Regions from separate parts of the Mus musculus genome. Here all the other regions are reported to be linked to region 2. The links are microRNA targets in miRTarBase. Many come from high-throughput screens and were not tested one by one. Region 2 holds a microRNA gene; each other region holds the end of a gene's coding sequence.

Evidence for each region. Region 2 holds the annotated microRNA mmu-miR-24-3p (UGGCUCAGUUCAGCAGGAACAG, at 3,808-3,829, opposite strand). A microRNA usually pairs through its seed, bases 2 to 8, with sites in the 3' UTR of a target mRNA and lowers its output. Matches are read on the target gene's strand: a 7mer-m8 pairs with bases 2 to 8, a 7mer-A1 pairs with bases 2 to 7 and ends in A, and an 8mer does both.
Region 1: the mRNA of Nf1 is a reported target of mmu-miR-24-3p. The part of its 3' UTR that is shown has no 7-base or 8-base seed match.
Region 3: miRTarBase lists Gprasp1 as a target of mmu-miR-24-3p. Seed matches in the 3' UTR shown: 7mer-m8 at 2,048-2,054.
Region 4: miRTarBase lists Pianp as a target of mmu-miR-24-3p. Seed matches in the 3' UTR shown: 7mer-m8 at 1,842-1,848.

The regions. Positions count from the first base shown.
Region 1 is chr11:79,576,926-79,584,547 of GRCm38, reverse strand. Nf1 (neurofibromin 1) reads right to left here. Exons shown (of 58, transcript NM_010897.2): 58 at 2,939-6,294. The coding sequence ends at 6,152. Among named protein-coding and RNA genes, the nearest start is that of Rab11fip4, 10 kb to the left of the region's middle.
Region 2 is chr8:84,205,082-84,212,703 of GRCm38, reverse strand. It overlaps Mir24-2 (microRNA 24-2), which reads right to left and starts at 3,889; the gene lies at 3,783-3,889. It overlaps Zswim4 (zinc finger SWIM-type containing 4), which reads left to right. Exons shown (of 14, transcript NM_172503.3): 14 at 1-1,762. The coding sequence ends at 758. Mir23a (microRNA 23a) reads right to left here and starts at 4,186; the gene lies at 4,112-4,186. It overlaps Mir27a (microRNA 27a), which reads right to left and starts at 4,032; the gene lies at 3,946-4,032. It also overlaps Mir3074-2.
Region 3 is chrX:135,801,332-135,808,953 of GRCm38, forward strand. It overlaps Gprasp1 (G protein-coupled receptor associated sorting protein 1), which reads left to right. Exons shown (of 11, transcript NM_026081.5): 11 at 1-2,137. The coding sequence ends at 1,772. Among named protein-coding and RNA genes, the nearest start is that of Mir1970, 19 kb to the left of the region's middle.
Region 4 is chr6:125,001,050-125,008,671 of GRCm38, forward strand. Pianp (PILR alpha associated neural protein) reads left to right here. Exons shown (of 6, transcript NM_175696.4): 5 at 378-599; 6 at 914-2,047. The coding sequence ends at 935. Among named protein-coding and RNA genes, the nearest start is that of Zfp384, 4.4 kb to the right of the region's middle.

The DNA of each region.
Region 1 (7,622 bases), not on the chromosome of region 2:
GTGCTCACCAGTTGTGTGTGGTTGTAGACACTGTACTGAACACCCAAAGCAGTCCAAGTTCTTCAGGGTGGAGGGGACAGTACAATGCCTGCCTTTGTGCTGGCTGATCTTGCGCCTCGACAAAACTGGCTGAGTAGAGCCCCCTGCTGGCTAGTGATGTACATAGCAGGGTGAAAATGAACTACAGTATAAACTGGACCTGCTCTAATCCAATGACAATAAGTTTTTGGGCCTTTTTCAGTGCTAGGGATTGAACCCAGGACCGTGTACGTGTTTGGTGAGTGCTCGGCCATTGAGCACATTCCCAGCCACTACCAGTTTCTAAAATTCCTTAGTGTATATTCATTCTACAAAATTATGTCTCATTATGGCATATTTGTCTCAGTGTATCATACATTTTGACCACATTCACCCACATTACCATTCCTAGCTTTGCTCCCACTCTACAAGTTTTAAATTAAAAATTTTTTTAGCCAGGTAGTGGTGGCACATGTGTTTAATCCCAGCACTTGGGAGGCAGAGACAGGTGGATTTCTGAGTTCGAGGCCAGCTTGGTCTACAGAGTGAGTTCCAGGACAGCCAGCTTGGTCTACAGAGTGAGTTCCAGGACAGCCAGGAAAAATCCCGTCTCAAACAAACAAACAAACAAATAAACAAACATTTAGTGTGTTTTGCCTGCAAACCTGTCTGTATGAGGGTGTTGGATCCTGGAGTTAGGCAGTTGTAAGCTGCCATGTGGGTGCTGGGAATTGAACCCCACTGAGCTAGCTCTCTCTCTCTCTCTCTCTCTCTCTCTCTCTCCCAGTTTTAAATACTTTTGAAGTATTTAAAGGAAGGCTGCTCTGCCTGTCCTTCCTTCCTTCCCTCCCCGCTGTTTGTGGGTGAAATGAACTCTTTCTGTACATGTATGGTTGTGCAAGCTGAAGAAATCGTTGGGAAATGACTGGGAAATGCCTGCACTAGAGCATGGCTTTTCTTGATTCTCATTTTCCATCAGTTCTGACGACTGGCTGGTGTCTCTGAACATGTCACCCTAGCCCTAGGACTAGAGTTTTGCAATGGATCTTTTACACAGGTTCTATTTTGTTTGGGATTTTGCATGGGGGCTGGTATTATCAATGAGGGCTTCTTTGCTGTTTTTCTGCCTGTGTAGTTCCCCAGCAACATAGAACCTAGTGTTAGTTCTTAAGTGTTACCGAGCATTTGCGACCACAGCTTCCCCTTGTCTGAGCCCCTAGTTTAAGCAGGGAGCCAGGGGAATAGGAGTAGAGCCGCTCTCAGCATGGCTTGGGATGATGGTGGCAGCAGTGGCAGTGTTTTGGTGATGATTCTTAAAGATTTTTAATTTTATATGTCTGGGTGTTTTGTATGCACATATGTTAAGTGCAGTGCCCAGGAAAGGCAGACGCGGTGATCAGATCAGATCTCCTGGAACTGGAGATATAGATAGATGGTTGTGAGCCTCCATATGGGTGGGCACTGGGAATCGAATCTGAGTCCCTTGCAAGAATAGCCCATGTTCTTAACCGCTTAGCCTTCTCTCCAGCTTTCTTGGCTAGAAATTTTGTCTCCTGCAGAACCCTAGTGTGAATGGTCAGTGGTGGAGCTCGGGTAGAGGCAGAGATCAAGCAATGCATTCCCTTCTGCCTCTGCTCCACAAACCAACAAGCTGCTATGAAAAACTCTCTGGCCTCTAATTCTATTGAAGCATCTAGAATCACTGGGCTGGAAAGAGTGCCTGTTTGTGTGGCCTTGTGCTAAGGTAGGTCTTTTAAGTATTTTGGGGGGGGGTGGGGTGTGCACCCCTCAAAAAAACAAAAACAAAAACAAAACAAAAACCCTGTATCTTAGGACACATGCCGATCAGTTACGTGTCCATTTTCCTAATAAAGTCACAAGTTCACAGCCGGCAGAGGCCAAACCTCTTGCAGGGGTATTTGTTTGGAATTCCGGCAGTGGAAATTACAGCTGTTGACTCCCCCCACCCCTCACCCCAAAGACTTACAACTGGCCACACTCTTAACTTCTGGGCAGAAAGGACCCAGGCAAGATGGCAGTGTGGCCTCCCTATTTTACCTGGAGGAAGCAGCTGCAGGGTGCAGGGAGAGGCTGTCCCTTCAGTTTAAAGGTTACCAGTTGATTTTCAGCATCCCATGGCCACACTGTTCACTATGGCCAAGTGGATGAGGATACCCAGAGGACAGCATCTGTGCTGGCAAACCTTGGCCAAGTCAAAGAGCCTGCTGTCTAGGAATCGTGAGGTGCAATCTGGATTGTTGCAGAGATATGGGTAATTTTGACTAAGGTGCTTTAGGCCCCAGGGACAGGTAGCTATTTGCAGCACTGAGTACTCAGTTTCAGGGGTCTTCAAGCCTGGGTGTCCAGCAAAACTGCCAGAGATGCTTTAAATATACATACTCTCTCAGACCCTCCCCACCCCCGTGGGTCTGCTTTTGCCTGGGGTGGTACCAGAATATTCCAGAGCTCCCAAGGTAGAATAAGGTAGAATACCACCTCTCGTCTCCACCTGCCCATAAAAAGCCCTGCACACTTTGGGTCATTTGCTCAGAGAGAAGTATTCTACTCCTAGGGCCAGGAGGCTTCCGTCTCCTACAGGGGTGGGCAGTAGCTCTCCTTGAGTGATATACTAGCACTCAGGGAAGTTGCTCACGACATTAGCGGAGCCTGGAAGTAATGACAGGCTACTCTCTGGAAAGTAAGTTCACCTATGCCAGAGTGACAGTTGCCTCTGTGTTGGACAGACCCCTGTTTGTTGGAACTCAATGACTTTACTTTTGGAGAAAGATCTTTCCCTTAGGGTGAGCAGAGGCAATCCACAACACACCTGAAAGGTGGACAAGGTCTAATGTTCTAAAGATCATGGAGGAAGAGAGAAACAAACAGTTGGCTGCATGTGATAAATAACTCCTCACAGTTTAGAGCAGATTGAATTTACATTTTACTTTAAAAAAAAAAGGGGGTGGGTGGGGGGGTGGGTGGGAGGGAGGGCATACACAGGACAGGAGCAAGTGAGGCCGATGCTCTGCGACAGACGTCAACATGTTTCCCCACAGCAGTGGAGTCTGTGTGTCAGGCAGAGGTTCTCCTGCTGGTTACATTATCAACAAGGTTGTAGGCAGGGAACCCCTGGTTGGGGAGGGGAGTAAGTTAATCATATACAAGGTCAGTTCACAATACACAGCATTTTCTTTAAATGATGGAACGCAGTCGCAGGAAGAAGTTAACAATACGAACACAAGAATAATCAAATTTTTGTTTGTTATCCATGTACAGCAACTAACTGCTTTACAAAAAAGCAAAATAATACAATATATCATCACATGTATTTACAATGTAGTAAATAGACTTTTCTGTCAAATTTTACACAAACTATTTACAGGGGAATATACCGCATTAAAAAAAAATTGTGTGGCTGACACTAAGTGAATTTTTGTGGAAGTCCATTGCATAACATTGAATAAGACATGCTTCAATATGCTTGGGGAGTAATGTAGAAAAAAAAAGGGGGGGGGGGAAACTCCTCCAAACCTGGAAAACAAAAGCCAGATCTCCCAGAGGAAACTTGCAACCTTAAACCCCCCAAGGAAGTGGTTGCTGGGGCGAGTCCCCCCACTGGGGCTGTGGCAGTCTGCACTGTCCAGGCTCCGGCCTCAGCACTATGCAGGCAAGAGTAACTGTCCAGCAGAGTGCAGTGTCCCCACAGTGAGGGCATGGGAGCCCAGGGGAGGAGTACCAGCCAAACGCACAAACACAGCCGTTAGTGTTTTTTTGTTTTCTTTTAAGTCAGGGAAACACAAATTGAAAATGAATCACAGAACTCACACCAAATTGTGTAAAATGGGACATTACTCAGACCTTCAGCTGCTCCTGTAATTAGAGTCTCCTTTGGGGGAGGGGCAGCTAGTGATACTTTAAGCTCTGTAGGTTCAGTTGCTTGCAAAGATAGACTTTCCTCAAAAGCTGGAAGTTCTGTCTATTAGATAAAACTGGAATGCTGCCCCAGTTTCCTGGGATGTACTGGTCAGAAGTGGCTCCGTTTGATCTTTCCATAGGAGCTCAAGTGGGGCAGTTTAAGAACTATGGGGAAACCCGCTACAGGAAGAGTGCACATTTATAAGTTGTCCTGTTTTGATGGGGGAAGCAAAACAGTAATGGGCCAGTAATGGAACTCAATGACTTTAAAAAAGCCAAGCAACTAGAGTTACAGCAGCCTCAGTCTGTGCTGCCCACGGTTGCAGGAGCCAGAGCGGGGTGCACCCCAGCAGTACTGCGGTGGGGAGCCGGGCCTGGCAGCTAAGCCACGGGCCTCCTGCGGCTAAACTCAGCTGGCATCTCAGCCTCCCAGCCTTGGTTATCTGCTCTGACAGTTATTCTAAGGCAGCCTTTACAAGAGCTCAGTTTGCTGCATCTGTCTCCAGTAGTCTCCAGTGATTCTATGTTAAAATCACTACTAACACTAAGGGGTTTCCTTTTATTTTGGCAAATGGTTCTTACTTTTCCCAGGGCTGTAAACAAATTAAAAAAATTAAATTGTTATTTCTGAATATCAAAAGCAATTTTATTTACATTAACATATTACATTGTTACTGTATGGATAAGTGTGAAACGTGTTATATTATTAAAGTCAGAATACTTAAATGTACCATTATTTATTGACTTAGCTGTGGAGTTTAACTTACTGAAATCCACTAGTGAGCCAGCACTACAGGACCTGTCCACACCCTACTGGGTTTCTTTTGGTCCCTCCCAAAGCCATTATGTCTTAATACATGAAGGGAACCTGGAAGTAGAGGGATAATACCTTTTAAAAATAAATATAGTTCAATCTTAACTGAGAGCATCCATGTACTACTGTGCTCACTAAAGTCAAACTGTCTTGCATCCTGCGGGTACCATGAAGCAGCTGGGTGTGCATCCCTTGGAAGGGCCTGAGTCCCACTGGTCCAGCCACTCTGCACAGCAGCGATCCTAGAGGTCCTGTGTCCATACCACACAGGCCGGCCAGACTTCACAGTGACTAAATGCAATCCTATCAGATAGAATCCAAATGTTTTGCTAGAGATTCCTGATTTTATTTGGAGGAGAGGAGTAAGATTAAAAGATTTTAAAAATACATCTTATCAAAGAAATTTATGATAATATACAGCATATTCTGTTTCTTGGAAAATTATTTAACAAAATAAAAATATCACCTACCCTATGTCACGTACCATTCCATTTTGCTACGGAGCCAATGGAAAGAGCTATGAAAATTACCTTGTGGAAACGAGTCTCACCACTCTGTCTGCAAATTACCCTGCTTAGAATCACTTAGGAAAGAGGAGAAAGCAAGTGCAAACACAAGTGTAGTTTCTATACTTAGTATAGTCTTGGCTTAAAAAAAAAAAAAAAGAACAGAACACCTTCATATGTAAAAATTAAAAGATAATCAACTGGAAAAAAATTACCCAGGTTGGATGACCAAGTATGTATAAGGCCTCAGAACCAATAGCTTTAATTCAGCAATGTTAAGATGTGTGTGTCACGCTTATTTTCCTGTACTTATTGCTAAGACTCAAATGTTAGTATTTCTTAAGAATTCGTTACAAAATATTAGTTTGCCCCTCCCTCAGTCCCTGGCCTGTGGCTTTATTGAGGCTTGGCCTCTGTGGTTCCTTCAACTACATAAGGTAAAAAAAAAAAAAAAAAAAAGTCCACAGCTAGAAGATTAAATACACTGGGGTTAAAATATGATTTCTCCCCCAAACTTATAAGTGTGTAACTAAGACGACCCCTTCACTCTGCAAGACGGGAACACAGAAGGCCGTCCTCCGCGTACGGCCCGTGGCTTGCGGCAGCGGCAGCACTGCAGGGTTCATCCACACCCACGGTCCACGCTCTCAGTCAGGCCTCCTGACCGCCTGCTGTCTCTGCTGTCCTCAGAACAAGTGCTCAACCAGACACATGCCAAAGTAGAAGGAAAAACATCAAAGAAAAGCAGCATTAAACTTAGGCAATGCTCCAAGAGATGACCGTCTGGCGACACGGCGACCAGATGGGATCATAAGACACGAAGTGCAGCAGTGCAAGGTGAGGGGTCACTAGTGAGAAGCCATGTTAGGTTGGTTTGAAGAGTGAAACAAAGAACGCTTCACACGATCTTCTTAATGCTATTACGTTTGAAACTGCCAGCACTTCTTTGCTTCTGCACTTGGCTTGCGGATCCATGGCGAGTCCGTCCACTGTTACAGTGGCCAGCGGTGGGGGAGAGTTCAACGTTCTCCTTGTCGAGTCCTGGAGAGACACAACAGCTGGTTACTCCTCCTCTCCTGACGCTAGCTCAGGACCCAATCTCATTCATTGCTTGTGGGTGAGATTGGAATGGTGAGCAGTCCCAGCATACTCCACATTCACAGTAAACTGCCAGGACATTTACAAAGGCCTTGCCACATACTTTGCCTCACACCTTGCTAAGCTGAATTTTCTATCATTGTTGTGAAACAGCGTAAGAGAAAAGAGAAGTTGCAAGAACAGCTGGAGGGAGGTAGGGTGAAAGGCTGGCCATCCAGGAAGCCTTAGGAGAGTACCTTCTCCCAGTTGTACCATGAGTGTCCAGCAGAGGGCAGATTCTAGCCATGTATCCATCTTTCTGCATAGCCGCCATTTCAGAAAAAGGCATATACTTCTCCTTTAATCGGCCTCAATGCCTGTTCTGGAGGAATGAGGGCATCTCCTGAAAAGGTGACCTACCACGCAGGCCATGCCCGGATCTTGGCTTCATTTCAATCATGGAGAGTCACTACACTTGTCTCAACCTCACTCAAGGGTCCTATAATGTATTTTACAAATAATGTAAACGTTATTTTCAGAAAGGTGATCAGAACAAAAGGGCAAATTTAGAAAAATCTCAGCATATTGATAAAGGTTACAAATAAAGATAGAAAAGAACAGTCTGAAGGAGGTGAGGAAGGCAGTTTAGGCAGCGAGCATGTTCCTTCACAATCCCTGGTAGGATTTTGATCATTAGTTGATTGAGACAGGGTCTCTCTGTGTAGCCCTACATGTCTTGAAACTTGGTACGCAGACTAGGCTGTCCTGGAACTCACAGAGATCTGCCTGCCTTTGCCTTCATGTGCCACTGTGCCTGGCCCTGGATCTTCATTATGAGTGGGTTTGCTTCTAAAAAGTTCATTATACTGTAAACTTATGACCTGTGTACTTTTCTGCCTTCTACCCTTCAAAAGAATTTGCTTCCCAAATAGATACTGTACTCATCATGTCTAGCATAGCCATTGGCAGGAGGCATTCTGGTAGCTGATATAAACTGTTCACAGACACACGAGGAGGAGGAGCAGGGAAGGGCAGGCCACACTTAACTGGGGGTGGGGAGGCAGGAAACCATCTGCTCATGTCATGGCCCGCAGCGTTATCCCAGGTCTAACTTTAACTTTATGGACTACTTGAACTTAAAAAGAATCATTACATTTGGGAATGGAAACATTTCCATTTTTGGGCAATAAAGTATTATTTTAAGCCACAAGATATTTATTGTGTTACAGGAAGTGGGACAGATCCATGCGGCAGTTTGTAGGCTGAGGAGAACTGCACCTGGGATGACTGTT
Region 2 (7,622 bases):
TGCTGCGACTGCAGCTAGATACAGCTGGGCGAGAGGAGCTCTGGGCTTGTGCCCGCACCTTGGCACTGCAGTGCGCCATGAAGGATCCCCAGAACTGCGCCTTGCCAGCCCTGACCCTGTGTGAGAAGAACCACGCGGCCTTTGAGGCTGCCTACCAGATTGTGCTGGACGCTGCAGCCGGTGGCCTCGGCCACGCCCACCTCTTCACGGTTGCACGGTATATGGAGCATCGAGGCCTGCCTCTGCGGGCCTACAAGCTGGCCACGCTAGCCTTGGCACAACTCAGCATTGCCTTCAACCAAGACAGCCACCCTGCAGTCAACGATGTGCTGTGGGCCTGCTCCCTCAGCCACTCGCTGGGGCGGCACGAATTGTCGGCCATTGTCCCTCTCATCATCCGAAGCATCCACTGTGCACCCATGCTCTCAGACATCCTGCGACGCTGGACACTCTCAGCACCCGGGCTGGGCCCACTGGGGGCCCGCAGGGCTACCAAACCACTAGGGACTGACAGGGCACCACTTTGTCAGCTTCTGGATGCCGCAGTAGCCGCGTACATAACCACCAGCCACTCTCGCCTCACCCACATTAGCCCACGCCACTATGGTGACTTCATTGAGTTCCTGGGCAAAGCTCGAGAGACCTTCCTTCTGGCACCAGACGGGCACCTCCAGTTCGCACAGTTCTTAGAAAACCTGAAACAGACGTACAAGGGAAAGAAGAAGTTGATGCTGTTGGTTCGGGAACGGTTTGGCTGAGGAACTGCAGAAAGCCGGGAGCATGGGTGTCCCAGGCCCACCTTCCTCAAACAGGAGGCCCATGGCTACTTGCAGTAAAGTTACAGAGGTGGGAGGCAGAGGGTGACATCATTCCAGGTGTGTGCCTAGGAGTGTGCAGACAAACGGGACATGCGATCTGAGGATCCGAAGCCATACTGCTAACTAGACCCTGCAGGGAGTATGTGCCTGGGCACCTCACACGGAAGAAGCAAGCTCTGGCTCTTCCAGACTCCCAGGGTCAGCTGGGACTTCCAGGAGAAGGGCTGGGCCAGAGTGAAGTTAGGCCTCCAACTCAGTGCAGCAGATGCTCCAGAGCCGGAGCTGGCCGGAGCCTAGGCACTTCACATCAGGGTAGTTACTTCCCACTGTGTTTCTCCCCTCTCCACAGCTCAGGGCTCCTGTCCCACTGCCCTGCGCCCCCAGCCCCAGCTTTCCAGCACAAATGCCTCACCCCACTGAAGGATATTAAGAGGTCTTGGGCCTCTGCCACATACCTCACCCCCAAATACCCTTGTCAAGCCAGGGCCTGTCTTCTCTTGGGCACCAAGGTCACAGGGTAGGCTGGGGACAGCTCTCTGCTGGCCAGACCCCACCACTAGTAACTGGATACACAACTCAGGAGTCAGGCTGCCCTCCAGCCTGTTGTGGGAGGCACAGGCAGACAGCCAGGGACCCCGTTCTGTCTTCCTCTTGCTCTGCACCTCCATTTGTTTCCCCACTCCCTTAGTTTCCCCATGTCTGCATCTCTCTCAAGTCCCAGCTGCTGACAGGCCTTCCTGTATCCCAGGCCTTGGCCCAGGGAGGAAGAGAAGGGAGAGCCTCCACCCCAGACGCACCTGTCTTCTCTCTTGTATATTAAGGAAAAAGTTGGCATCATTTTGTAACTTTTTTTCTTATTTATTGAACCCCATACTGTATTCTTTTCCTTTTTTTTTCCTTTTTTTTTAAAAAAAAGATTGAACACAACTTCTTTTTAACTTCAAGACTGGGTTGCATTGCTAACACAAACACCCGGGGCCAGGGGTACCTACCACCTGCTCAATTAACCAAAAAATTTTCCATCTCGGTTTTTGGGCACAACTTGAATGGGACAGGAGAGGCTGCTGGTTTCTTCATGGCATCGTGGTGACACGAAGAGCCACCTCTTGCTGGTGGCTTTACTGCTTTTCCATCTGCATGTCATAATCTCTGCAAGTCAGGAGGCTTAAAACGCCCAAACCTAGAGTCTGTAGGTTTTTGGAAAATGCACCCAGATTGCACTGTCCTTCATTGCAGGAAATGACCACCAGGGGGCGTCTGGCTCCAGACAACGTCATTCGGAGCTCCGGAGGTCTCACCAGGTGCGGAGGGCAGCTGGGGACGCCTGTGTCCCCAGTGACCTGCCCATTGCATTTTTGGGCTGTGGATGAGACTCCCGTTCTTAGATGGATTCATCCAGCGGACGGCCTGGGCATTCTTCTCATTCTCCGGTTCTTTATGTCCTTAGCTGTGTCTGACAGGGTCATTGTTTAGGACCGTTCTCTTGGAAGCTGTGTGTGTGTGTGTGTTGCCTCTGTGGGGCACTATGGGAGCTGGCTGTGACTATGAGTGTGGCCATAGTTCATGGTGCGTTCCTTTGCTCCAGGGAGCCGATCAGAGGCGATCCGCCCCTTAGCCCTTCTGGCGCAGACGGGCGCGCGCGCGTGCGTGCGTGCGTGCGTGTGTGTGTGTGTGTGTGTGTGTGTGTGTGTGTGTGTAGACGGGCGCGCGCGCGTGCGTGTGTGTGTGCATGCGCGCGTGTCTGTCTGTGCTCGCATATGTGCCCGTCCTTAAGCCCTGTGTGTGTGTGTGTGTGTGTGTGTGTGCATGCGCGCGTGTCTGTCTGTGCGCGCATATGTGCCCGTCCTTAAGCCCTGGCATCTTGCCAGTCAGTGCATCCCAGCATAGGCAGAGTACATTCTTGTAACATACTCCCTCATGGAACTGGGGTGACCACAGATTGGTCTCATACACCCCAGGTCTGGGTTATCCCTCCCGTTCAAGCCATCCCCAAAGGATCCCAGGATCTTCAGGTCGCAGCACCTACTGACCACAGAACTATATTTACACCTTCCTAGAAGCAGGTGGAGCAAGGTTGGGGATAGGTGCAATGCAGGTTAGGAGCCCAGGGTGTGGTAGATATAGTGGTGCAGCTGGTATTCCCAAACTCCAGACACTGGAGGAGTTTGATTCAAGGTCAGCCTGGTCTACACAGAAATGCTGTTTCAAGAGAAATGAAAAAAGCCAGCAACACACATGTGGGAGGCGGGAATGAAGAGACGTCAGCCCTTACGGAATGAGGCTGTGGAGCTTTTATTTAGTTGGAGAACAACATTCAATACAAGCTTTCAACTCTGTTCTTCCACCCAGGCTTCGATTTGCCCCTGCCCAGAGTAGGGAGAGGACACTGTATGGTCTGGGAAGTGTAACTCAGCCAGTTCCAATTAGTCTGCATGCAGTCTCATTTGTGGGTAGTAGGCAACTTTTTAACTTCCAAGCCTGGAGATTACTTCAACAGGCCAATGGGGGGGGGGGGCATGGATCTGTTCATATCCTGAGGCCTGTGTGGACCTCGCTCCCTGCCTCGCTGTCACCAGCAGAAAGCTGCAGACCCCATGGGATTGCTAGGCACACTGGATCAGGTCAGTGCCTTCTTCCGGAAGCAGAGAGTTGGCATTTAACCGTTAGAGGGCCTAAAGCAGCTTCCTCTTGGGTAACTGACTTCAAAGATGGTATGTATAAGGGGTGGTGCCTGAGCCCCACCAGACTTAGGAAAAGAAGGGCTTCCAGGCCCTGAGGGGACATAACTGGCTTTTAATGCAAGGGTTACCCGCCCATCTATCTGCTTTGGGGAACCACAGAAATCTCAAGGTGGACACCCAGATGCAGGCTTAGAGGCTGAGCCTCCAGCAGACAACGGGGCTTAGGTTGGACTAATTACCCCATTGTTTCCAGGTCTTGCTCACGGCAGACATTCTGCAGGGTTGCCAGCTCCTAGGGGGCTGGACTCCTGTTCCTGCTGAACTGAGCCAGTGCACTGGAATCAACTGTTTCAGCTCAGTAGGCACGGGAGGCGGAGCCCGGAGAGAGGCAGAGCCCTGCCAGCCAGGAGGCAGAGCAGGGTGGGCAGCAGCGGCCTGAGGAGATGGGGTCCAGGGGGCGGAACTTAGCCACTGTGAACACGACTTTGCTGTGGACCTTGCTCACAAGCAGCTAAGCCCTGCTCCTCAGGCCAGTTGTCATGATAGGCTTCTCTGTTACCCAGTACCCAAGACAGACATCCTTGGCGACAGGAGCCCCCAAGGCAGAGCACAGGGTCAGTTGGAAATCCCTGGCAATGTGATTTGTGACTGGCATCAAATCCCATCCCCAGGAACCCCAGCCGTCCGAGGCACAGTGAGGGGGGCAGCAGGTGGGAGCGGAGTGTAGCACCTAAAGAGAGAAAGAAGAGACAGTGAGATTGGAGCATTCTTGCTTGCCTGCCTATCTTGACCAGGCTGGGTCTCACATAGCTGAACACAAGGTTTCCGAATGCACCAGTTCTTCCTGCCTCTACCTCTGGAGTCTAGGATTATAGGTACACCTCACCACACACAGTTTAAGTGGTGCTGGGGACAGAATCTAAACTCAGCTTGCTGATCCACACCCTAGCCCTCCTCTACTTCCAAGAGGGAAGAAGCATTCCCAAAAAAGAGGAGCATCGATCCGTAGGAAGGTTGGAGCGAGGCTGCTGGATGCTGGGCACCCAGCAGTGCCTCTACCCCAGCCCTACAAAGCGGGAGGTGCCTGAAGCCCTAAGGCCAAAGGGGCTGCAGAGCCTTCCCAGCTGCTTCCCACTCTGCTTCTATCCCCACCCACAGCCCTGAGCCCAAAGCAGGCCAAATGGGGCCATGGAGAGGAAGCTGAGGGAGGTGGACGGTTGGAGGGAGGAAGTGACCTCACCCCAGCTGGCGCCACTTCCTAGAAGCCTGAAGGGCAGGAGGAAACTCCAGGGCCTCCCACCTCAGCCCTCTCCTCCCCAGCCAGCTCAGACATAACCCCACCCCCACCCCACACCACCTAGGGCCCAAGCAAGGAGAAGCAGGCCGATGCACCCCAACAATAACACCTCAGTAAAGTTTCCCCTAGGCCTTCCAAGCCTCAGTTTCCCCATCTGTAAAGCAGACTACAACAGTTGCAGTTGGTGGCTCACGTTTATCTCAGCATTGAGGAAACTGAGGCAGGAAGGTTGCCAAGAATGGAGTCAAAAGCCTGCTTAAGCTACATGATGAGTTTTAGGCCTAACTGGGCTACAGTTTGAGACCCTAGTCTTAAATAGAAGAAAAACAAAAATAAAACAACAAAACCCCAAACCTTCTACTAGGAAGGCCAGTGAAAACTTACAGAGAAGGTATTTAGCACCCAGTACCAGGGCAAGCCACAAAATTTGGGGCCTACCCAATGTAGAGTAGTGTCCTGCGTGCCAGTTAAAGTTTTCAGGGGCCAGCAAGCTGATCCAGCAAGTGAGCAGAGCTGCTATGGAGCCCAATGCCCTGAGCTCAAACCCAAGAACCACGAAGAAGAAAAGCATACGGACCCTTGCAAGTTGTCCTCTGATCTCTGCACTTGGGAACACACACACACAATTTTTAAAAATTGTTTAAAGAATTTCAATGTTGGAGAGATGACAGGTTTCTTTCCCAGAACCTACATGACAAGCACAGCTATCTATAGCTCCATTCCCAAGAGCTCCAACGCTCCCCACTGGCCCCTGTGGGTACCAGGCATACATATGGTGCACAGACGTACGCGTAAGCAAACATTCACAAACAGACAATAAAAATAAACTTAAGAATGGTGGTGCACACTGTTAGTCCCAGCACTTGAAAGGCAAAGGAAAGCAAGAACCAGGCCTTGGACAGTACTATCTCTAAGAGTTCAAGGCCAGCTTGGTCTGTGTAGGGAGTTTCAGACCATCCAGGGCTACATAGTGACACAAGTGACCTTGTTTCAGATAAAGAGCTGACTCAGTGGTTAAGAGTGGCTACTGCTCTTGCAGAGGGCCCGAGTTTGGATCTCAGCACCTGTCACAACTACCTGTAACTCCAGCTTCTGGGGATTTCACTCCCTCTTCTGGTCTCTGAGTGTACTGCACTGTCATGCACAAAGACCAGACAACACACACACACACACACACACACACACACACACACACACACACACGTCTTCTTTATAAAACATCAGGGTCGGGCTGGTGAGATGGCTCAGTTGGTAAGAGCACCCGACTGCTCTTCCGAAGGTCCGGAGTTCAAATCCCAGCAACCACATGGTGGCTCAAAACCATCTGTAACGAGATCTGACTCCCTCTTCTGGAGTGTCTGAAGACAGCTACAGTGTACTTACATATAATAAATAAATAAATCTTAAAAAAAAAAAAAAAAACATCAGGGTCTTCAGTGATAGGTCAATCAATAAAGTGGTCACCATGTAAGCAAAAGGGCTTGTGTTGTCCCCAGGTATGGCAATTCACACTTGTAATTCCAGAGCTGGGGAAGGGAAGCCACAAGATGCTCTAGGGCTCACCACCAGCCCGCCTCACCAGCTCCATGTCCCAGTAAGACACCTTCTCTGAGAAAACAAGGTTGGAGCTAGAGAGATGGCTCAGTGGTTAAGAGCATTTGTTGCTCTTTCAGAGGACCTGGGTTGAGTTCCCTGCACCTACACAGTGGCTCACAACCATCTGTAACTCCAGTTACAGGAGATTCTATGTCTCCCACCTTTTAGGACATCAGACACACACAATCCTGAGAAACTACACTTGACATTGCACTCTGTACACACACACACACACACACACACACACACACACACACAAAAGGGAGGAGAGTAGAATTTTCATGCCATGCACCAGGGCCAGGTCTTATATAAGCCCTACAGTGGTGCATACCTGTGATCCCAGCTAGGAAGAGACAGAAGCAGGAAGATATATATGAGTTTGAGGCCAGCCTGGTCTACATATGAGGCCCTTTTTAAAGGGGGAGGGGGAGGAAAGGGAAGGAAAGGGTTTTGGCTACGGGACACTCAGTTCTGGAGCTCGTCAGCCTGCATGTGAGCTATGCAGCTTCTTTGCTGGCTGACTATGGGCAAAGAACACACGTGCTCTGTGGCAAAGTCTCTGTCTGCAAGAAAGCAAAAATGAATCATTTCAGAGCTCGAGATGATGTGACATGACAGCAGACTGCAGACGTGTAATCCCTATATCTAGGACAGGGGTAAAAAGATCTCAATTTAGAAGCCAGCCTGGGCTACCAAGACATGGTGTGTCTCAAAAAGAAAGGGCTAGAGATGGCTCAGCACTTGCTGCTCTTCCGGGGGTTCCAGGTTCAATATCCAGCACCTACATAGTGGCTAACAACTATCTCCAACTTTAGTTCTAGGGATCCTGACACTTTTTTCTGAACTCTGCAGACATACATGCAGACAAAACATCTGCACACGGAAATAATTGTTGTTTTGGTTTGGTTTTGTTTTTTTGAGACAGGGTTTCTTTGTGTAGCCATGGCTATAGCCCTGGCTGTCCTTGGCACTCACTTTGTAGACCAGGCTGCCCTCGAACTCAGAAATCCACCTGTTTCTGCCTCCCAAGTGCTAGGATTAAAGGTGTGCGCCACCACACCCGGTGAAATAATTTTTAATTAAAAAAAAAAAAAGCAACAAGGGGTAAGGCTCAATGGCAGCTGCTGGCCTAGCACACTGACTGGGCTTGGCTTCACCCCCAGTACCATATCAAGGAAGTGTGGTGGTTTATACACATGTTCCCAGCACTCCGCAGGCATTAGCAGGTAT
Region 3 (7,622 bases), not on the chromosome of region 2:
TAGAGGCTCCCAAGAGAGAAGAATTCAGGCCAGAAGCGGAAGAGGAAGACATTATTGGTTCTTGGTTTTGGGCTGGGGATGAAGACAGGTTTGAGCCAGCTGCTAAGATTAATGAAGAGAACAAGATAGCATCTGAAGATGAAGATACAGTTGGATCCTGGTTCTGGGGCAATGAAGAGGCCAGTCTAGAGGCAGTGAGAAGGGGTACTTTTGAGTCTGCTCCTGGGATTAAGGAAGAGAAAGTTACTGGGTCATGGTTCTGGACTGATAAGGCCAAAGTAGGGGCTGGGTCCCAGACTGTCGAAACTGGGTCAGAAACTGAAGAGGAAGCAATTTTTGAGTCCTTGATCTGGGCTGCAAAAAAGGACAGTATTCAAGCAGGAGTAAAGCGTGTGTCCAAGCCAAAAGATGACGGTAACATAGCTGTTGGGTCCTGGCTCTGGTCTAGTGACAAGGCCACAAAAGAAGCTAAAACTCTGATTGTCAGTGAGGCCAGTCCAGAAAATGGGAAAGAGTCAGTTGTTAAGTTTGGGTCAAGAGCAAAAGATGAGGTGATTAACAAGACTGGCAGTGGTGACAATTGTAAACATAGTACAGAAGCTGAAACCATAGTGGGAGCCTGGTTCTGGGAAGGAGATGAAGCTAGCTTTGAATCAAATCCTGTACCTGTATGCAAGGCCGTTTGTGAACCCGAGTCTTCAGCTGAGCACGAACCTGACCCTTCCCGCAGGCCTCAGAGCTGGGATGAGGTCACTGTTCAGTTTAAGGCTGGTCCGTGGGGAAAAGCTGGCTTCCCACCCATGAACCCCTTCAGATTCCCCAAAGAAGCGGCATCTCTGTTTGCAGAAATGTTTGGGGGAAAGCCTAAGCTTGTGGAAGTTGGTCCAGAAAGGGAGCCTGAACCCCAGTTCCCATTTCAGTATGATCCCTCTTACCGCTCAGTCCGAGAAATTCGCGAGCATCTTAAGGCCAGGGAAAGTGCACAGCCAGAGAATTGGTCTTGCAACTGCATCCAGTGTGAGCTTAGAATTGGTTCTGAGGAGTTTGAGGAGCTTCTTTTACTGATGGACAGAAATCGTGATCCTTTTATCCATGAGATATCTAAGATTGCAATGGGCATGCGAGGTGCTTCTCAGTTTACCCGGGATTTCATTCGAAACTCGGGCGTTGTCTCCCTGATTGAAGCCTTACTTAACTATCCGTCCTCCCGAGTGAGGACAAGGTTTTTGGAAAATATGGTCCGCATGGCTCCCCCTTATCCAGACCTGAACATGATTGAGACATACGTGTGTCAGATTTGCGAGGACACCTTTGACTATGACTTGGATTCCCCTGATCAGTTGTCCGGATTGACAATGATTACACACCTCACTGCTACTTCTGACTATCACAAGGTGGTTGTCAATTACTTGGCTGGGTTTTTCTACTTACTGAATTCAGGCAATACCAAAACAAGGTTTCATGTTCTGAAACTGCTACTGAATTTGTCTGAAAACCTTGTCATGACAAAACGCCTACTTGTTACTGATTCGGTGTCAGAATTTATGGACCTTATTAATAGGGAGGAGTCAGATGAAAACATTCAAATTGTTCTTGCAATATTTGAGACTATCAGTAAACATATTCAAAAAGAGGCACTGTTTTCTGATGATGATGATGATGATGAAGAAGAAGATGCAGTGAATCTTGAACCATTTATTTCTGCATTCCGTGAGGCTGAAAAAATTGCCAAGGAACTAAAACGCAAACCTGGCAATCAAAAAGCACCCTGAAGCAGTACAACAAAAACAAAAAGTAATTTGACTAACCCTTTGCCTCCGGTTGTCCTTTTGTTCCTGAGTCATCTGACCCTCAAATACTGCTTTGCTTTCCCAGCTGCTTCCTTGTTTCAGTGTACCTCTCTAATGCTGGTGGCAATTCTACCCAACCCTGTGTACTCTGTATTATCGTTCTGATGCCAAATGAAGATACAACTGAAAACACATGACACTTGTTGATGACGCTTGTTGTGTTGATTGTGATGTTCAGTATTTGAGTGTAAAGTGAACTGAGCCGTTGTAAATAAGATGCCCTTCTAAATGTTGTTCTCGTGTATATTTGAGTCTTGTGCTTCAATAAAGGTCTATGTGAAAGTGAGCAGAAATTGCCCCTTCACTGTAAAATACAGATGCAAAGATGGCACATGAACACACACAGAGAGAGAATGTCTGAGTCACATGCTTGTTACAAAAGTTTTTCTCAGCATTAAATCTCAAAGGTTGGAACAGACTGTAACCCAGAGCATCCTTCAAAGAAGACTCGCTTTACTCTAATAGAATTTACAACATGATAAGGAGCAAAACATGGGGTAGGGGAATGTGTTTCTAGACTTATATCTAACTTCCTGGATTAGGTGGGAGAACTATAAATCGAAGAGATGTATTAAGAATGAGATAAGTTTGAAAAGCAAGTTGGACTTTGCTGTTCAGAATACTATGTTCAGAATATAATCAGGGTGATGCAGAAGATAAAAGAATAGCATCAGAAAGAACAAAAAGTTCATTCAAGTGGATGGTTAAGTCGAAATAGTTTTGGTCTCACTTGATAAGATACTGTCCTACACTAGTACAGCTGGAGAGGTGGCTCAGTTGGTAAAGTGCTTGCCATCCTGCCCTGCATTAGGACCCTATCACATGCAAATCCAGAGATGCTCCTGTCTGCCTGGTGCTGGGAGGCAAAGATGGGAGGATCCCAGGGGGGTCTCTGGCCAGCTAAGCTAGCCACTCTGAAGGTGAAGCGCTCACAGAATTATTTATAAAACTAGCAAAGTCATCATTTATCCACACTTTTTCTTTGTTTCTCGTGACCGGGTGTTTTGTATCTCAGGGTCACCTCAAACTTAGTACCTGAGACACTTTGAACTTTTAAGGCTAGGATTATAGGTGGCTGTACTCAGTTTCAGGTAGCACCGGGGCCATCAGAGCTGTAAAGTTCCCTGCCTTTCACCTGCTGCAGCACTGGGGAGAGTAGGCCCTGCACCTCACCTGGGCAGCACAGTACAGCTGGCCCTGGATGTGGGGGTTGTGGGTGAGCTGGCCCTGAGGGCTTGAGAGGACAGCTGGCTGGCTGATCAGCTCACATACCTCTCATGCCTATATACAGGACTTTGAGTTGGTCCACCCCAGCATCTACCCTATCAATGAACTGCTGGAGTGAGTGAAGGGGCCAGTCCTACAGAACCAAAACTACAGGATATCTGAGAGGAGTCTCAGTGAGGTTCCAGTAATGATAAAGCAGCAGAAGCTAGAGGTCTCGAACCAGACCTGTGAGTCACTGCAGTGAACATTTGCAAGCAAAGAAGTGTGGACAAAAGGGTGTACTGTGGGACACACGGTGACACACTAAAGCTTCCACCATGAGATTTTTTTTTTAATTTGTTGTTGTTGAGAGGAGAGGTTGCAAGGATGGATAGCGGGCGGGTATGAGGGGAAGGAGAGATGAGTGGGAATAGAGAAAATGATTTGAGATTCACAGAGAACAAATAGAAGTTAATAAAGTAACATATATGAACAAATAGTAGCAAAACCTGTTATTGGCATTTTATAGTTATGTTTTTTGTTTTGTTTTTAGATGATCTAAAACTTATGTATCAAAAGGATCATTGGGCAGTGGTGGCACATGCCATTAATCCCAGCACTTGGGAAGCAGAAGCAAGTGGATCTCTGTGAGTTCAAGGCCAGCCTGGTCTACAGAGCCAGTTCTAGGACTGCCAAGGCTACACACAGAAACCCTGTTTGAAAAGAACAAAACAAAATTCCAGGAATGGTGAGGTGGCTCAGCAGTCAAAGACACTGGTTGCTCTTCCAGAGGTCACACTGGCTGCTCTTCCAGAGGTCCTGAGTTCAATTTCCCAGCAACCACATGGTGGCTCACAACCATCTGTAAAATGTATACATGTTTAAAATGTTTAAAAGGATCATAATCTGTGTGTGGGGACATGTGCTATGCAATGATAACTATGGAAATAACAGAGTGTAAACTAATAGAGATAATCTAAAGAGAGGCTAAGTTTCAACAGCGGAGTGGTGTCAGCAAAATGGCTTACAAGTAATCCTCCCTCATAAAGACTGCACTAAATTCTGGTAAACTCTAGAGAAGAAGTGAGAACAAAGAGCACCCAGGCCATTGTAAAGGCAAGGAAAGGATTCCAGCAAGGGGGGTTGAGCATGCCAAAGGGTTTTTTGGGTTTTTGTTTTGTTTTATTTTGTTTTTCCAGACAGGGTTTCTCTGTATAGCCCTGTCTGTCCTGGAACTCACTCTGTAGACCAGGCTGGCCTCAAACTCAGAAATCCGCCTGCCTCTGCCTCCCAAGTGCTGCGATTAAAGGCCATGCACCACCATGCCTGGCACAAAGGGTTATTTTATGCCACGCATACCCTCACTACACAGCCTATCATGGTTAACCAGGTAACCACAGTGGCAACTAAGAAGAAACATCCTAAAAGTCTCTAGCTTCAGAATGGAGTGGAGACAAAGGAGTAGGTAGTCTTCCTAATGTCCTGTTTGGCAGCTGTCCAGGAAACTTTCCCCCTCACCTGACTTGAAGCTCCCTCAGCTTATGTGTAGAAAGGCAGGAGGAGAAAAAACTTGAGAGCTGCAGAAAACTACCACTGCATCCTAGACATGCAGTACTGAAGGGAGACACTAGAGGGAGCAAAGGATCAGAGAAAGGTCAATGGGTCTTGGAATATCTAATCAGGATGATGGTTAAAAATCTTCATTGGCACATTGTCAGGACAGAAAGACAAAGAGTTGATTGGTTTTTGTTTTTCAAAATGAATTCCCAAATCCCCGTTGATACAGTCCCACTAAGTCCCTCTCTCCTCTCATCTCCTCCTCTATTTTCTCTGCAAGAGACTGCAAAGTGTATAAGGAAATGCAAACAGCCCAAAGCAAAGGTGGGGGAGGGGACTACAGAAAGCCACCATAAACTATCTATTAGGCAAATAAACTCAAATAACTGTCAGAAACTTTTTCAATGAGTTAAGGAAGAACACAATGTAAATTTAATCAGGAAAGTGATGAATGAAAAAAAATATGAATATTAGCAAGGAAACTTAAAAAAAAAAAACTATAGAAAGGAACCAAGCAGAAATTGTGACACCAATAAATACTCTACCTGAATTTATACTATACGGAAGTTCTCAAAAGGAATTCAGCAGAGGCTTAAGCAGGCAGAAGAGATCATCTTCACACTTGAAGACAGGTCACTTGAAATCATGAAGTCAGAGAAGAGAAAGGAGAGGAGGGGATGAGAGGAGAGAGGGACTTAGTGGGGTTGTATCAAAGAAATGGACATATGCACTGACAGTATTGTACTGGCTAGTTTTGTGTCAACTTGACACAGCTGGAGTTATCACAGAGAAAGGAGCTTCAGTTGAGGAAATGCCTCCATGAGATCCAACTGTAAGGCATTTTCTCAATTAGTGATCAAGGGGGAAAGGCCCCTTGTGAGTGGGACCATCTCTGGGCTGTTAGTCTTGGTTCTATAAGAGAGCAGGCTGAGCAAGCCAGGGGAAGCAAGCCAGTAAAGAACACCCATCCATGGCCTCTGCATCAGCTCCTGCTCCCTGACCTGCTTGAGTTCCAGTCCTGACTTCCTTTGGTGATGAACAGCAGCATGGAAGTGTAAACTGAATAAACTCTTTCCTCCCCAACTTGCTTCTTGGTCATGATGTTTGTGCAGGAATAGAAACCCTGACTATGACAAGTATCTTTTAGGAGAAAGGAGAAATGAGGGACAGATGGCTTGTTTGACAAAACAGTGGGTGAGAAGTTCCTAAATCCTAAGAAAGCAATTGACAAGTAAATGCAATAAACCAAAATATCAACTACATAAATCAAATGGGAGAAATGGGAGACTTTTGTCTTAAATCAAAGACAAAGACAGAAACTAAGAAGCCAGAGAGAAGAAATGACTTGGCATATACAATAGAGCTTCCATGAGATTAGGAGTGGACTTCTCATCGGGAACGATGTTGGTTGTAAGGAAATAGAGTACATGTTCCAAGTATTAAAGGAAAAATGTTGTCAATCAAGACATGAACCTATCAATACTGTCTTTGGAAATATGAAGGAGAAAATAGATTTTCCTAGATAAATCTATGACAGCTTATTCCCACTGAATCTTCTCACAAGAAATGAGGATCCTTGAAGACTAAATTATTAAAGGAACATATACAGCAACACAAAGCCACATAAAAATGAAATGTCTCTAGTACAAACTTAAAAAATATTCTCCAGTATAGGAATCTGTATTATTGTGATTTTGGAACTGGAATTTAAAGAACAGTCAAAGAATATCTGTTTAATGACTATGTAGCATGTAAAGGGTTGGCTTCTGATGCAAAAAAAATGGGAAAGCTATAGGCAAGTAGTGCTTTTATATGCTACTGAAGTAATGAAGTTACGTTTCAATTTAAATGGTGCACTGTTAAGAGGTATTACATGCTAACTAAAAAGGACACATCAAAACACAAAAGGAAACAAGAAGAAACACCAAAGCCTGTTAGGAAAATATAAAAAATGGGGGAGGGGGGTAAGAAAGAGGAAACCAACTAGCAGATCATTAAGGAAACAGCAAAATGAAAACAATATCCTTTTCGCCGGGCGTGGTGGCGCACGCCTTTAATCCCAGCACTCGGGAGGCAGAGGCAGGCGGATTTCTGAGTTCAAGGCCAGCCTGGTCTACAAAGTGAGGTCCAGGACAGCCAGGGCTATACAGAGAAACCCTGTCTCGAAAAACCAAAAAAAAAAAAAAAAAAAAAAAAAACAAAACAAAACAAAACAAAAACAATATCCTTTTCTATTATTAATGAAATAGATTAAACTTAGAATCAAAGCATATAGATTGGCTGGCTGGCTTAAAAATGGAGAGTAATAATTGGTATGTATATATATATATATATATATATATATATATATATATATATATATATATGAGAAATTCTTCAGTCAAGAAAAAACCCAGACTAAAAGTGAAAGGATGGTAGTACCACAGAACATGGATGTCTGCACTAACATCAGACAAACATTAAATCAAGAACAATGAAATATAGAAGGATATTATATAAAGATAATAGAATTAATTCATCGATACCATGAACATTAACTATGTCCTATTCTTAAGGACACTTAGGTGGTGCAATTTTCTTTGCATAGTTGAAGAACTAGTTACATAACAACAGTGGTACAATTCAGCAGCAGGCTTTCAATTGTGAAAAAAATGATAAAAGTCACTTGAAAAAATAATGGAATTGGAGAGCAGTATAAAACAATGGAATATGACAGACATAATGGCACATCACCCTAACAGTATCACAGCATACATTTTTAGCATATGCTAGGAATAAAGTCAATAAATTCAAAAAGATCAAAATCATATGAAGTATCTTCTCTGATCGTACTAAAATGAGAAAATAGACAGAAGCTGAAATTTTCACCACCATACTGAAATTAAGCAACACATTCTCAAAACAACAACAAACACAAAGAGAAATCTCATAGTTAATTCAAGAATATGTGACAGAATGAAAGCAATCAAAACAAACCCAAAGTTAGGGAATATAGCAAAAGTAGTTTTT
Region 4 (7,622 bases), not on the chromosome of region 2:
TGTAATAGTGGGTCACACAGTCCTTCACACTTTACTGAGAGAATCGTTAGATTCAGGTGCCCAAGTCATTAGCTGACTTTGAGCTTGAACTAAATCTGCCAGGTCCCCGCAGAGGAGAGCAAGGCTCCTCTGGACATCAGTGTGGCAGGGGCAGTTTTAAAGGGCTATGTATTGGTGGGGAGGAGTCATTAAGCCTGTGGCCCTCCAAAAATGATCTAGAGGAAAGGAGAAGGAATAGTCTGACGGTCTCAGAAGCCAGTTTCCTTGCTGTGGGGAAGTTGGGGTGTTTGGGGAAGGAGAAGCTGGGTTAACCAGGGATGCTGAACTGAGAGAGTACTTGAGTTTGTGAGAAGACCTCTTTCCTTATGATGCACAAGCTGGGACCGTAGCCAGAAGCGGCGCAGGCCCTCAGGGCAGCAAGGTGCCCTGAGGCAGGAGGAGAGTCAGCAACCACTGACAGACCTGTCTCCTGCTGGAGTCACTGTGCTGGGGGCTTTTGGGGACTCGCCTACCCCCACCCCTGACCATGAGGAACCCCGAGGGGGACCCCGGCCTGGGATGCCCCAGCCTAAGGGGGCTCCAGCCTTCCAGTTGAACCGGTGAGGGCGATGGGATGGGAGGGGCTGATGGGATGGGAGGGTGAGGAGGGAACCTCTAGACCTTCAGTTATCTTTCCTGGGTGGGTGGTCTTCCCTAATGCAGTCCATGACACCCTTCCTGACCTGGTTCCTGGGCCTCCCAAGGGGGCTGGTCAGATCCTCTCCAAGGGGAATGGGGCTCCCTGCACCCCTAGGCTCTCTGTTCTATCCTCCTACCACCCTTAATTCCAGCTCTGCCCTCTTAACCCTGACTTCTCCTGCAGCTTCAGCCTACTCCTTGGTTCCTGACTGTGCATTTTCCCTCTTCCTCTCAGGATTCCCCTGGTGAATCTGTGATGCCCCCCCATGTTGGGGTGCTGCCAAGCAGGAGGCCAAGTGGCCAGCATAGCCACCATCCACTGAGGGTGGGGCAACCCTGGGGAATTGGGGCCATGGTGGGGGGCTCCTAGCTCCTGTCCTTGCACACAACCTGGGACACTCACTAATCCCATGGGCAAGCCCAAGCGTTTGTCCTCCAGTGACTGGGGTCTCCCATTCCCACCCTTGCACATTCACATGAAAGCCTTGCACACTCACCCACACCCTCACAGGCCATAGCACAGTCACGCTCTCCACGCTGCTCCTCTGCCGTGTCCCCATTCACGTCTGCTCAGCCGGCTCCTAGCTCTCTCCCTCGTGTTGCCTATGTCCTGCCCCCTTTACATTCTCTGTGCCCATCTCAGACTGGGCACGAGCATTTCTGGCTCCAATATATGGCATAGTGTGCCCACTCTGCCTCATCAGCACCCACTGGTCTAGCTTCTGTGGCCCTTGCATGCTGCCCTAGAGGTGGGTGGGAGGTGAGCTAGGGGCTCCTTGTACCATTTGTCATGGCCCCATTCACATCTGTGTCTTTCCATTCCATTCCAAGGATGCTGGTATTACTGAGGGCTCCCCCACAGGAACGGGGGTAGTGAGGCCCAGTTGTTAAACTCTGTCATCAGAAGTCTGGGTTTGGGGGAGTCTCCTGCTGCACTACATGAGAAGGGACTCCCATGTCCTCCCTTCCCTCCCAAGTCCCTTGTTTTGTCGGTCCTGGCTGTCTGTGTGTATGTGTCTGTATGGAATTCGGAGCCCCCTCAACAGGTCCTCCATCTCCCACCCTCCCCTAAGGCCTCCCTTAATGTACCTAGGCTGCCAGGAACTGAAGCCAGCTGGTTCAAGGCCATTGGGAGCTCTGCCTCCATATCCACCCTTCTCTCCCTGAGCCCCTCACGTTCCCTCCTCCCCTCTCCCTTTTCCGTTTTTTCAGATTCTTCCAGTTTCTCGCTCACCTCTCCAGCTCCCTTCTCCCTCTTACCTGGCTCCTATGCTGTGATATATATTTTTGTATTATCTCTTTCTTCTTGTGGTGATAATCTTGTGGGATGTAAGTTTCAAAATTTTCAAATAAAGCCTTTGCAAGATAATTTAGTTGCCTGTTTTGCCTTATAATTCCCAACCCCTGGCACCGTCCCCCAGCCCCATACACAGAAGAGGATGGACAGGAAGGAGAATGGGAGAGAAAGGGGAGATGAAGAACTTCTTCAGACTAGATTGTCACCTGGCCTGCTCTACCTGAAGCTGGAGACTGATGGATACCTTAACTTAGGACAGGATGAAGGAAGGAACCGGAGAGGCTCCAGAGGAGAAAGAGCCCTGAGGGGGGAGAACTTGCATCTGAAGTGTTTTTAAGGCTTGCTTGTTCCTTACTAGTGAGGGTCAAGAGAGACCAAAGACAGAGAAAAGTAGGGACATTTCTTAGGACAAGCAATGAGACAAGCCAGAAAGGCAATGGATTGATTTTGACATAGAGTCTCTCACCCTGTTTCCAGGCTGGCCCATACTAGATTCACCCACCTTGGCCTCCTGAATCCTGGCATTACGGGCATGAGTCACCACACCGCACTGGGCAAGACAGCTAAGGCAGAGGATAAAGGGTCATAGGGAGAGGATGAGCGAGCCCAGGAGAGGATGCTCTACCCGCTCTATTTTCATCCATGCTCCTTACCATGGCCCTGCCCACAACTGCCCGCCAAAAAGCTATGCTGCACCAGGAGCCTGTGTGCAGCTCAGTGTGGTTTTCCCACTTGCTAAGGTGTGGGGGTGGAATCAAGGGGTGTGTCTGGGGAGGGAACACAGGCTGCCCAGCTGGGATCAGTCACCTCTGGGGTCGCAATTCTAGGTTTGGCTCTTTAACAGCCCTAGTAAAGCCCACACATCAGTTTCTCAGCTGTTGCTAGGCTCTGTTGCTCTGGTAACCACCTAGGTCTTGTGTCCTGTTCCTCCCCACCCTACCCCCCATCTGTGCCTCACCTGCTCTCTGGAAATGGCTAGCCCCACGGAAGTAGGAGACAATATAGTATCCAAGAGAGCAGTGTGGGCTGCCCGGAATGTACCTGCCTCCATGTGTTTTATCTTTGAGGCTATAAATAGGTGTGTGTCATGCACGTACACACACACACACACACACACACACACACACACACACACACACACACACACACAGAGAGAGAGATAGATATGCTTTAGATGCTGACGAGCTGTACTGTATATTGAAAGACGTGTAGCTGAGCCCCTAAAGCACACGGTGACGACTGTCTGTCTTAGGACAAGGGCAGTGTTAGGACAGGCTGCTCCAGAGGAGAGCAGCGACCGGAGTCATGAACCAAGGACCACCCTGCTGAGGTAGGAGCAAACAAGCCTTCTGAGGAGGGCTGTCAGCACAGTGCACAGGAGATTCCAGAGGGAATGGAAAGGGAGGGGGCCAGGAGGACACTGAAGGGCCTGGGGGAGGTCGGTGAGTAGGGAAGGAAGGAAGGGCTACGTGGAAGGTGAAGAAGCCTCTTTAACCTTTCCAGCGTTCCCCACAGGGCTGGAGGCCTTGCCATGGCGATGGGGAATGAAAGAGCACTTGGAGTAGAAGGGCAAGATGCTCTCGTTCGAAGGGCTCCCTGGGCTCTCACCTTCCACAACTCTCCCTTTAGAGGGACAGTGTGACCCTGTGGCTCATCCATATGCAAAAGGCACACATGAAGTCCCCTAATGAACAAGGAATTAATTGCCGTCTGATTAGACTGCAGTCCTCCTAAATTTAAATAAATTAAACATACCAGTGAGACACTGGGAGTCTCACCTGTTCCCTTTCCCCAGATGCCCTCTCCACTGTGGAAGGGCAGATGGACAGAAAGACAGGAGAGAGAAGACAATCTGGATGTTTGGATCGCCTGCTTAGAGGAAGTATGCCAGCTTGGGTCAGTGTCTTGCTAACCATGACAAAGCATGGGCCCTGGGGAGCACACCTTTCATTTTTCTCTTTCTTAAAACTCCAACAGTGACTCGGGGCTTCGGGTCTTCAGGCGATAGAGTTATAGAGGAGAAAAAGAACAAGGACCAAGCGGCTCTTCTGAGAACTGGAAGTTTCTTGGAGGCCACAAGTCACAAGCCCAGTTTGAGGGAGGCATCTCCCATCACCAAGCTCCCTCTGTTGAGGGAGTACATCAAATGACTCAGCCAAGGTTCTCCTAGGCACGTTTCTGGAATGCTTACCATTGCAGCAGACCAGAGCAGGGGATGGGGAAGCCCCCAGGAGGAGGGATCTCCTAGTAGGGCTCAGGGTGTGGAAATGATTCAAGATGGAAATTGTGCCAGCTGGAGAACCCCAGGCTAAAATTAACAGCCCTCCTCCCCACCCCACTGTGTCCCACATTTACTGCTCTAAAGCTTTGTTCCAGGGACTTAAAAGTGGCTTCTTAGAGCAAAAGGCAGGAGGAGGGCTGCCAGAGGCGCGGGGCTCAGAGAGTGCTTGAAGAATGTACAGAGGCGGCAGAGCTGGAGAACCAGGACTTTTGGGAACTACTGTTTTGCCTCCATATTTCTTTTCTCTCCCTCCCTTCTTCCTGCCTTTTCTTTTACCTTCTCTTCCTTCTCTTTTGAAGGCAGAGTCTCTGTATATAACCGAGGCTGGCCTGCCCGTAACTTAGAATACTGCCCCAGCCTCTTGAATGCTGGTATTACAGTTACATGATGGCTTATCAGGCTGAAGTCCTTACAACTGAAGTCCTTATCCTGCTAATTTGCCACTGAAATCAGCACAGAGTGCTGAGCTCGAAACTGTAATAAGAAGGAAGAGATACTTGGCATGGTAGCTTATGCCGATAATTCCAGTGTCTGGGTGACAGAGACAGGAGGATGAGGAATTCCAGGCCATCTTAGCGATGTGCTAAGTTTGGGTCAGTCTGGACTAAAAATATGAAAACAAAACAGTTCTGGGAGACGGGTGAGCTTGTAAAATGCTCTCCATGAAAGTGTGAGGATCTGGGCCTGGTTCCCAGCACCCACGTACAAATACTGGTCATGATGGTTCACACCTGTTAATTCCAGCCTTGGGGAGGCTGGAAGGATCTCGGGGCTTGATGGCTAGATGATGTGGTTGAATTGGTGAGCTTTATGTTCAGTTTGAGACCCCCATCTCAACAGAAAAAAAAAAATGATCACAGGAATTAAGGAAGACATTTAATAATGGCTTAGACACACACACACACACACACACACACACACACACACACACACACACACACACAAATAAAAGGTATGGAGATTTATGTTTATAATCCAGCACCAAGGAAAGCCACTGAGGCAGCAGCATTAGAAATTCAAAGTTATCCTAGCAAGTTTGTGACCAGGCTGGGCTACAAGAGTAGACAAGGCTATCTGGTCAACCTGATCTACATAGTGAGTTCCAGGTTAGCCAGAGCTACATAGTGAGACCCTATCCTAAAGAAACAAAGATATAAAGCTAACTTTTGCGATTCCTGGCTGTGACTTTGGGGGAAGAAGTCACTTGAACTGACAGTCCCACTTTAATTATCTGTAGAATAAGATCATAGCTCTTTGTTAGAGTAATTTTGCTTTCTCACTATGGGAACCCATTTGCATGAGCTGAGACAGACCTGTGGCTACATATACTTACTAAATAAATACATAAATAAACAAACATTATTTTAAATACTAAAGATTCTTTCCAGATTTGGTACCGAGATGGATTTCTGGTAACCATGTCTTTTAATCACTGGCTACTTGAAGCAGAGGAAGCTGGCACATGAGTGCCACCAGGCACCTGCAGAACAAAGGAAATTACTAACAGTCACAGTCTTAAGAGAGGTAGGGGGTCTCAGAGCCTAGCAGATTAGTGAAGGTAGCAGATAGGATGTAAAGAAGGCATTTTTGAGCTGGGTGGTTGTGGCTCATGCCTTTAATCCCAGCACTTGGGAGGCAGATTTCTGAGTTCGAGGCTACCCTGGTCTACAGAGTGAGTTCCAGGACAGCCAGGGCTACACAGAGAAACTCTGTCTTGAAAAACCAAAACCAAATAATAATAATAATAAATTTTTTTAAATTAAAAAAAAGAAGGCATTTATGAAGTTAGTCCCATTGCCCCATCCTACCTTGGGGCTGTTACATGCTAGCAGTTTAGCAGCTTAGGGAAGGCCCGAGATAGAAGGAAGCTGAGCTCTACAGGGTCAGCATCTGTGACTTTACACATATATTATTTCAGTATGTGAATCAGATTCCTGACAATCTTTTTTTTTTTTTTAAATCTATGAGCTTTCTGTTTATTGTAAACGGGATTAAATAAAGTCAGTCATGGGTCAAGAGGAAGAACAAGAGACCAGTTGACAGGGAGTGAAGGTAGGAAAGGGAGATAAGGTAGACAGATAGAGACACATAGGAAGTCCTGACAATCTTAGTAGGGATTCAGATATATAAATTAATTAAAGTTAACAGTAAAAGCAATAGACTAAGAGATCTCAAAAATCCTACTACTTAGGAGGTGGAGGAAAGTGGATCAAGGGTTCAAGGCCAGTTTTAAATACACCAAAGTAAGCTCCGGTCTCGAAGACAGAGACATAGCTGGGTCACGGGAGGCAGAGGCAGACAGATGGGTCTCTGAGTTCAAGGGCAGCTTGGTCTGCAGGGAGAGTTTCAGGATAGCCAAGGCTACACACACACAAAAAAAACCCTGTCTCAAAAACAAACAAACAAACGACAAAAACACAGTAAATGCTATGAAAAATTAAAAAAACCCTTTGGGTTGCAGCAATCAGGGAGTTTCCTGCAATAGTTTATAATGTTCATTTACGTATCAAACGTTTACTGGAATGCTTAACAAATTCTGGGATCTGGTGATACCATCGGGAGCAATTCAAAGTCCTTGCCCTTATGGAGCTGGGCAACAACACCAGGTGAGCTGTAAACAACAGCAGGTACGCTGAATGTTGTACTTAGAATTAAAACCCGGTAAGAAGATAAGAGATGTGGGTGTTGGCAAAAAGAAAAGACCAAAGTGAAAAGAGTAACGGAGTGGTCAGAGGAAGACCGATTGAACTTTGATAGCACCGATCCCGAAACCTCAAACAACTATGGGCCTTCTTACCTTTCTTGAATATTCAAAGAAATTAGTTTCCCCCACTCTAGCTCAGCAAAAAGACATTCGGGAAGATCCAAGAAAAAAGGGTAACGTCCTACAACAACCTAGTCCATTAAGAAATGAGCTGTGACTCCCGTCTTTTTAAGATTCCGCATGGTCGGACTGGAGAGATGGCTCAGTGGTTAAGAGCATCGACTGCTCTGCCAGAGGTCCTGAGTTCAATTCCCAGCGATCATGGCTCACAACCATCTGTAATGGGATCCAATGCCCTCTCCTAGTGTGTCTGAAGACAGCTTCAGTGTACTCAAATAAATAAAAAAATAAATAAATCTTTGCCGGGCGTGGTGGCGCACGCCTTTAACCCCAGGCAGAGGCAGGGGGATTTTTGAGTTCGAGGCCAGCCTGGTCTACAAAGTGAGTTCCAGGCCAGCCAGGGCTATACAGAGAAACCCTGTCTCGAAAAATAAATCAAAAAGGATTCCGCATGGTGAAGAGTTGGCTCAGCTGGCCGCTCCTCCAGAGGACCGGAGGTTCGGTTCCCAGATCGCACACAGTGAAGCTGGAAGCAGGTAGCG